Linked DNA regions of Sus scrofa. The protein of the gene in region 2 interacts with the protein of the main gene of each other region in a biochemical or structural test. Links are inferred from orthologs where the notes say so. Each region holds a gene or a part of one and is shown on either strand. Other genes may lie near its edges.

Region 1 (4,371 bases), on a different chromosome or scaffold from region 2:
TGGCCGCTCCCTCTCGGGAGATTTCCACCCTGGGGTAGGGGGTGCGGCAGGCCAGAGGTCAGGAGACGGCGGGCGGGGAGCGCCGCCACGTGCCCGCGTGCGGCCCCGCCCGGGCCGGCCAGTGACTCAGCCACGGCGGCTGTCGAGGAACCAGGCTCGGGGGGCGGCGGGTGCCTTTAGGGTTCGCAGCGGCCTCGGGAGCACCGCACCCCTCTGGGGGGGACGGGGAAGGTACGAAGCCCCTTCACGCCCGGGAGGCGCCCCTCCCCCGAGGGACCGGAAGCGGCCAAGCCCCTCAGCGGACCCGGCGGCCAGCCGGGGCTGGTTCACCTAAGCCGGGTCCTAACCCCACCCGCTTCCCAGCGGGCGGCGAACGAACTCTTCGCACACAATTTCTTAGCATAAGTTTTACTGAAAAAAGAAGAGGAAAAAGGCCCAGGGGGCCAGGGTAGAAGGGACTTTCCTCTTCTTGAAAAAGTTGCATGTTGAAACCCTAGTATTCTTCCGCCTTGAAAAATAGGCCCGCCCGCCGCGCCCCGCGGGCGCCGAGGCTCAGTGACCTCTGCAGAGACAGGGTAAGGGGGACGGACGGCGACCCAAACTGCTGACCGGGGCACAGTCATGGAGTGAGGCCTAAGGCTGGAGCTGATCCAGCGCGAGGGATAATCCCCGTGGAGTCGGGTGGGCTCCAGCGAGTGCAACTTATGCCGCCGTGCAGATGCTGAGGACAGAAGTGTCCCCGGTGGGCGCCTTCAACTTGGAAAATGGTCGGGGTATTTTGTCAAATTTCCCTTTACTGCCTTTATTTCTTGAATAAATAAAATCAAGAGTGCAGAAGCGGTAACGTGCGCGCCTCACCCCCGCCCCTTCCGCCCAGCAGCAGACACGTCCCCGGCCCGCCTTCCTTCGCTGGGGGTCCAATTCGGCCCGGCCCGGCGCGCCCCGGCGCGCGCCCGCGAAGCCGGCGGCCGGCCCTAACCGCCCCACGCGCTCTCGCTCTCTGCCCCGGCGCAGGCGCGGGCGCACGCGCTGCCGCCGCCTGCCGTTCCTCCCCCCGCAACCCCACAGCAGAGGTGGGGGAAGGGGGAGTCGTTCCGTTTAACCCTGAGTTCCCCGAACCCTCTTAATCTGCTAAATTTGCAGCTCGCTAGTTCTTTCTCCGTTCACTTTCCTTCCTCCCTCTGGCTCACTCTCTTTCCCTACACCAAAGTCTAATATTCTATGCAAATTGGCGCGAGCCCCAACTCTAACCCCCCCGCCTCCCATCCTTTCAGCGTCGGTTCCCATCGAACTCGGCAAATTTTGCAATAGGGGGAGGGATTTTTTAAATTGCATTTGCAAAGTTCGGTATCTGGGCAGGCGAGAAGGAGGAGGGAGGGGATGAGGAGTAGGCCCCGCCCCCACCGCCCTTTGCAAATAAAAATCTAGGGGGGTGGGGAGGAGCAGGAAGTGGCGGTGCGAGGGCTGCTGCACAGCTAGCAGAGCCGCGGTCCGGACGGCAGCGCGTGCCCCAAGCTCTCTGCCTTCCCCCGCCCGCCAGTCCGAGGCAGCCCGAGCCCAACCCGCGGCCCCAGCAGTAGCCCCGAGAGCAGCCCCAGTAGCAGCGCCATGGCCGGGTGGAACGCCTACATCGACAACCTCATGGCGGACGGGACCTGTCAGGACGCGGCCATCGTGGGCTATAAGGACTCGCCCTCCGTCTGGGCCGCCGTCCCCGGGAAAACCTTCGTCAACATCACGGTACTGCGAGGCCTGCGGGGTCTGGGGAACTGGCCGGGCTTGGACCCTGAGGGAGGGACTTGGGTGGGGGCGGGCACGCTCTGGAGAGCGCAGCGAAAAGCCGTGGTCGCTCCTGGCCCTGGAAGTGGCGCGAATGGTGGCTGCACGTGAGCCGGTCCGTCCCGGGGCCCCCCGAGTCGTACGTCCCGGGCGGCGGCGCCCGGCCAGCCCGCCGGCCCCGCTCTCCGAGACGGGGCGTTACATCCGGGGCACAGGGCGGGGAGGGGCGCGCCGCCCGGTGCGGCGGCCCACTTCCGTCTCCTCCAGGGCGGGGCGGGCACACGCTGCAGTTTCAACCCGGGATTGTGATTGAGAAGGGACTCGGGGACCCCTGGACCCTGAGCTCCACTTCCGCCCGCCTGCTCGCGCCCCCTCCACCATTGTTCCTCCTTATGCGGTGGGAGCCCGGCTCGCGTGGCCAAGGTCCCATGCCCGTCCTCTGCGCTCCCTGCCCCTCCCAGCTCCGTTAGAGAGGGCTAGGCCGCCTCACGCCCTCCGCCCCCCCGCAGTCGGCACGTTAGACTCAACATTCCTGTGAGACCGATCCCGGAAGTCCCCTCGCCCTCCCTTCCCGCCATCCGGCGGGGCCTGGAGCAGGGGAACTTTGTGAGAAGTTCTAGGACTGAATTATCAGTGAAGGAGTAAGGGATGACTTCTGCTGTCCCCTCACCACCTCCCCAGTCCACACTGCCCGGAAGTGGGGAGGGGGAGCGGAAGTTCGAAAGGGGGGGAAGGGGATTTCCGGGCGGGAGGGGACCGGATGTGGGGATTTGGGGTGTAAGGGGGAGGGGAGAGAGTTTCCCTGGGGTATCAAGACCCGAGAGCTGGCTTGCTGGGTCTAGCCCCAGGCCCCCTCCAAAAGTTTTTCAACTTTCCCGGAATGCCCCCAGACATCTTGCTTCCTCCTCTTAGAGCACAGATACCTGGACCTGAACTCAAGGTTACTTAGAGACCCAGGCGTCCGGGCCCCTAACAACTCCTGTAGAACCTTTGACCAAATAAGGGCAAAGTTGCTTCTCCTGCTTCGCCCGCCCCCTCCCTTCCCCTCTTCGCTTCTGCTTTTCCTGAAGGAGACTTCTGAGCATCCAAAGGCTCTCCAGTCCATTCCACTCCACTCTCCTCACTCCTTTTTGGCCCCCTTTATTTCCTGGGTTTGCTTTCCCAAGAAATGACATCTAAGTCTCCAGGGGAATATGTCGTCCCTTTCTGTTACCATTCTCCTAAGTTTGAGGATCATGATCTTTTTGTGCACGAACTTCCGACAGTCCTGAGTTGCTCAAATTTCACTGGTGTGTACAAAGCACATAACATACACCCCTCCCAGGGGGGTTAGCTTCCTGAAGAAATGGAAGGCAGGTGGGTCCTTGGAGAAGGTGGGAACCTTGGGGTACTGACTAACTTGATGGTGCTTGGTTCCCCTTCCAGCCAGCTGAGGTTGGTGTCCTGGTTGGCAAAGACCGGTCAAGTTTTTTCGTGAATGGGCTAACGCTTGGGGGCCAGAAATGCTCTGTGATCCGGGACTCACTGCTGCAGGACGGGGAATTTACCATGGATCTTCGTACCAAGAGCACTGGCGGAGCCCCCACCTTCAATATCACTGTCACCATGACTGCCAAGAGTGAGTTTCTGAGTTTTTTGCCCTTTCCCTAATGGACCTCCTTCTGCTAATCTTTCGGGTTTTCTTTGTGGATTCCCCAGTATGAAGGGATCAGGCCTGGGACGCTGGATTGTCCCTCTAGTTCTGTCTCAGTTCCTCATCTTAGAAAGAAGTTGAACTGTATTACCTCTTAAGTTCCTTCTTGCCTTGAGTCTTTTTAGCTGGGAAACTCTCTGGTTTTCTTGGAGGAGGTAGGCTGTTAGTTCTAAGTCGGCACTTGAGCTCTTGTCTTTGGGGCTCTTTGTTAAAACTTGGAGGTGGCAGGCTCATCCACAGCCATTTCTAGCCTGAACACATGAGTCAACTGTCTGCGAGCCTTTGACCCCTAAATTTTACTGTGTTCCTTTCCAGCCTTTAAGCTTGATTTTCCCCTTTTGAAAAGCCCTATTGTTTCAGGGTGACTGACAGCCTGCCTGTGTGTGGGGGGTTGGGAAAGATGAGGTTGGGTTACAGCCCCCAGGGCTGGACAGCTGCTGAACAGCTGGCGGGAGTGGGATTGTGACACCTGGGTCCTAGCCTCCTTTCTCTTTCCTCCAGCGCTAGTCCTGCTGATGGGCAAAGAAGGTGTCCACGGTGGTATGATCAACAAGAAATGTTATGAAATGGCTTCCCACCTGCGGCGTTCCCAGTACTGACCTCGTCTGTCCCTCCCCTTCACTCCCCACTGCTTTTGCACCCCTCTCCTTCCCACACACACACATCCACCATTTTTATTTTTTGGGCCATTACCCCACACCCCTTATTGCTGCCAAAACCACGTGGATTGGGGGCCAGGGCTGGATGGACAGACACCTCCCCCAACCCATACCCTTTCCTGTGTGTGGTTGGAAAACTTTTTTTGTTTTTTGGGTTTTTTTTTTTTTTTTTTTTTTTTTTTCTGAATAAAAAAAGATTCTAACAAGGTGCTGTGTGGTTTTAGCCTGGGTATCAGGACG
Region 2 (4,408 bases):
TGAATTCTTAAATTGAGCTCTGAATACACATCTTACTTAATAAATCTGGTCTGACCTGTAAATCTCATTGCTTAATTTTTTTAATGAGATATATTTCAGTACTGTACAAAAAACTGCACAGTCAGCAAAGGAAGGAAAATAAGGTTGTTCCAGAAAATAAAAATATCACTCTTTATTTTCTAATAATTGGAGATTTCAAATATTAAAGTTAATCTTTGCAACCATTTCATACCACAAGAGCAGGTAACTATAATAGTGTGGTTCTAAATGACAGAAATCCCAATGGCAAAGTTGATTAGTAATAGATGACATAAATTGAGCACTGGGGGTTCTCATTGTGGCTCAGTGGTAATGAACTTAATATCCATGAGGATTCGGGTTCAATCCCTGGCCTTGCTCAGTGGGTTAAGGATCTGGCATTGCGGTGAGCTGTGGTATAGGTCACAGACAGCTCAGATCCCGCATTGCTGTGGCTGTAGGCTGTGGCGTAGGCTGGCAGCTGCAGCTCCTTGACCCCCCCCCCCCCAGCCTGGGAACTTCACTAAAAAGAAAAAAAACAAAACCAAAAACAAAAAAACAAAAACCAAAATGCACTGAGTACTGACAGCTTATTTGCCAATCCACCTACATTAACCACTAAGCAATAGCATATTTTTCTATCCCTGTATTCTTCAACATTTGTCATTTTTTGAAACCAGTAAACATAACAGGTAAGCACAGAGTCAGTATACCTGTTTATAAATGTAATGTCCTTCCTGTCTAAACTGAATGTGTCTGGTAACTAACACATAGTACAACTACTTCCTTTCTGACACAGATTACATAGCAAAAGCAGTAAACCAGCAAAATTTTAAATTTTTTTCATTTGCAGACAATGAATGTTACTTTCAAAGTATTGGAGATTTTCCTAAGTTGAAAATATGCAAAAACTAGTGCTCCTTTAAGGATCTTATACTTTAATTTTATCAGTTTCTGGTGTGAAAAAAAAAGTGACTATTCCTTTAAAATCACTTTTGGAAATAAATCTATAACAAATAAGGAAAAAACTCTTCTAAAACAACATGATGTAGTGGAAAGTACAATAGACTGGCCATCAGGTGTCCTGGTTTTCTAGTTCTGGTTACATTACCAAATTGCTGTGTGACTTAGGGCTCACTGGCTCAGTTTTCTCACTTGATTAAAAAGTGTGTGGGGGAAGTAGGGGGCTTGAATGTCTTTACGGTTGTTTTCCAAATTCTAATTTTAAGCCACCCTACTCATTTTATTCTTCTACTCAGACCTAACTTCTGAAATATGAAACATCTGAATTGAATGCAATGATTCAATCTCCTACTGGATGGCACAGGATACAAAGGGTAAACTATAAAGTTAACAATTAATTTGGTAACTTCTCAAAAATTGTCTAATCTTAACTTCTTAAACAAGCAGGTGTCCTCTGGATCCATTTAACACTACTAAGAACAGTTGTAAAAAGTACATCTCTGTTGACATTTCCCTTGGTAGTTCCTGGGTTCCAGTGGCACATACTCTGCAGGTGCTCACCAGGAGAGAGGGGAGTAAGGGACCCAAACAGCGTTTCAACAAACTCAATCACGGTTCAACCCAGCCACTGCAGTAAGATGCAGCCTGACAAGGCCTCCACCATAGAGCAGAACCTCCCCACCCCCAGAAGTGCCAGCAGCCAATGTAATGAATGCTTCCGTCAACAACACACATTCCCCTTCCCACAGCAGAACGGCTCGCTCCCAACCCGCCATCTGGGGTTGGAACAGGCCGCACAGCACCAGCCTAAGAACCATTCTCAGACTCCAAAAGGCCAAGAACGGCAGGAGACCGAGATTCCCCTGAGCTTGGTTGCGGGAGAGCAGCATCTCCTACCAATGCAAAAAACGAAACAAGAGGAGAGAGAAACCAGGCCTGGGCTAGACTGCTGGAGAAATAAACCTTGTTCCTCTCCAATGGGGAGCAGTAGTAGTGCTTCCTGCCCTCGTTCTGAACCGATGCACTCGACTTCACTTCTTCCTGAGAACCTCAAGGGAGATTAAAAACCACCTTATGGGTCGTTTCATTCATATTTAGGCTTCAGTCCCCGATCTACATACTCCTGAAACCTTTGGCATTGTGAAAGAAGGTGCCCCCAAATCAGGCCGCAGGAGGATAAACTGGGGCCAGTACAGGGGCCCAACTACTAAGATCAAGCAGGTCCTGCAAGAAAATCCCCTTGAGAGGACTGTTTGTAAAGTTTGAGCCAGCAGCCAGGACACGGACCCGGGCCCGGCCAAGCTGGGCTCCAAGGCAGGCCTGCAGAGGTGACACTTCCCTGTTCCCAGGACAGGTCCGGGAGGTGGCGTCCGGCCGCGCCGGCCCGCACCCAGGAAACCCGGCCAGAGGGGGCCGACACGGAGACAGGGCCGCGAGAGGCCAGGCCTGCAGCCCGATCCTCCCCGCGCCGCTCCCGCCTCCTTCCCCACTCCCACTTCCCGGCCCTCCAGCCCCGGCCCAGGAGGCAAAGTAGGACGCGGCGACACGGATCTCGGCCACTCACCACACATTTCTTGCCGAGGAAGGTGAAGAGGGACTCGTTCTCCTGCGGGGTGAGCAGCAGGGACCCCACGTTGGTGACCCTCCGCGGCGGCGGCGGCTGCTGCGGGCCGGAGCTCATGGTTTCGCCGGCAGGGTTGGGAGGCCAGGGCCGTCTCCTCCGGCGAGTGGGCGAATGCTAGATCCCCTTCTCGGTGACAGGGGCGGGAGGAGGGGAGTCAGAGGCGCAGCATCTCGCAGCTCCTCTGGCACGGGGAGGAGGCCAAGGGAAGGAGGAGCCGTCGGCGGACCGCGCTGAGAAAGGGAAGCTCTCTGCTCCCGCCCGGCCAGGGTCTGGCCGGATGGTCGTTGTCCTTGCACTCCGGCGACTGCGTTAAACTCCCAACTCCTCCTCCAACCCTCCTTCGGCGGCGGCGGCGGCCGCACAATCCAACATGGCAGCGGAGACGGGCGAGACCACAGGACGCAAGACGCGGGGGAGCGCGCCGGAAACGCGCGGCTGCGGGCCGGCCCCCCCTCCCGCCCCCACGCCGCGGCTGGCTTCGCCGCGCCTGCCCGAGGCCACGCCCCCTTCCGCTGGCGGGCGGGCTGAGTTTTCCGACGCGGGGCGACGAGTCGCGCGCGGGCTCTGGCGTCTGGTCTCGCTCCTCTCCTGGTCTTGTTCCTCTCCTGTTCTCCGCGGCAGCTCTAGGAGAGAGAAAACGGCTGGTCTCCGCGGCCCAGCTCTGAGCTCCTCTTCTGCGGACGCACACCTTTGAGAAGCGTCAGCGCAGACCCAGGTCCACCTCCTGAGAATAGCTCTTATTTCTGGGGCGCGGCGGCTGGGCGTTCGCACTGCTTGTCAAAAAGGTTGGAATCTGGAGACGGAAAATAGGAGAAAAGACGCCCTCGTTTGTGCTCCTCGCCGGTTTCTTCAGAGCCGCAGGTGCCCAGGGTTTCTCCAAGTTTGTGCAGACTTCAACAGTGGGAGTGAAGGAACAGGCCTCTCCCAATGTTATGAAAGAGAGACCTTGCTGATTGGATGTTCCCGAAAAAGCAGACGCACTTAGAAGAGATTTCTACTCTGGCTGGTGTGTTTCGTAGGATACACTTATTAGTAACGTTTAAATTCAGACTCTTTTTCTCTGAAGGGTATTCCACACATTTTCCTTCGTTTAGTGAATTGGAAAATATTCCTTTTCCCCTCCTCATCTTTTCTTTCTCTCAAACTCCGAAGACCTCGTTTTCCTTTTATCCAAAATGAATGTGCCCATTTTGGGATGTCCCCAGGAAAATTCATTATCTTGTATATCATTGGAAGTAAATCTTGGGACCTTCAAAAAAAAAAAAATGCCTCAGAATATTGAAAGCTACCTGGGATAACCCCCTTTGTTCAGTAAGTTAAATACTAAACAGCTGTCTTAAGACGGTGTTTTGGAATATGGAAATGATAAGTAATACCCACTGCTGCGATTTATAGAGTAAGCATCCGACTTCTCCACTTTAGAGAAATTAGCATATGTTGCATCAGCTTTACCATCATGTTTGTTTATTATTCAATTTCAATTAAAAAATTACCCATATCAAACTTAAGACATTTATGCCAGATAAAATTTGGTAAAACTATTTGATTAAAACGTTTCTGAAAACTCCCAGTACAAATCTTTGATGTACTAAACAGATTGATAAACTGTTATCGATACATTTTGAGAATATTACTAAAAATTAAAATTTAAGCTGCTCTTAATGAAATTAGCTAAGTAGGAATAAATCTACAAAGGCAAATAAGATCATATAGTCCTAGTAGTCCTTGCATAAAATGTGGATATTTCTAAATTAAACTTGATGAATAATAATGCTAGGGGAAAAGGTGATTTAAATAAAAGCA

The links.
Region 1: the proteins of WASL (region 2) and PFN1 form a complex in vitro, tested with the Homo sapiens proteins (2 studies listed by BioGRID). The link is inferred for Sus scrofa from reciprocal best matches to the Homo sapiens genes WASL and PFN1.

The regions. Positions count from the first base shown.
Region 1 is NC_010454.4:51,961,234-51,965,604, forward strand, and holds PFN1 (profilin-1), read left to right. Parts: upstream 1-1,408; 5' UTR 1,409-1,608; coding exon 1,609-1,740; intron 1,741-3,204; coding exon 3,205-3,397; intron 3,398-3,973; coding exon 3,974-4,071; 3' UTR 4,072-4,337; downstream 4,338-4,371. UniProt on the Homo sapiens protein: Binds to actin and affects the structure of the cytoskeleton. At high concentrations, profilin prevents the polymerization of actin, whereas it enhances it at low concentrations. By binding to PIP2, it inhibits the formation of IP3 and DG.
Region 2 is NC_010460.4:23,720,822-23,725,229, reverse strand, and holds the start of WASL (neural Wiskott-Aldrich syndrome protein), read right to left. Parts: upstream 2,838-4,408; 5' UTR 2,663-2,837; coding exon 2,546-2,662; intron 1-2,545. UniProt on the Homo sapiens protein: Regulates actin polymerization by stimulating the actin-nucleating activity of the Arp2/3 complex. Involved in various processes, such as mitosis and cytokinesis, via its role in the regulation of actin polymerization.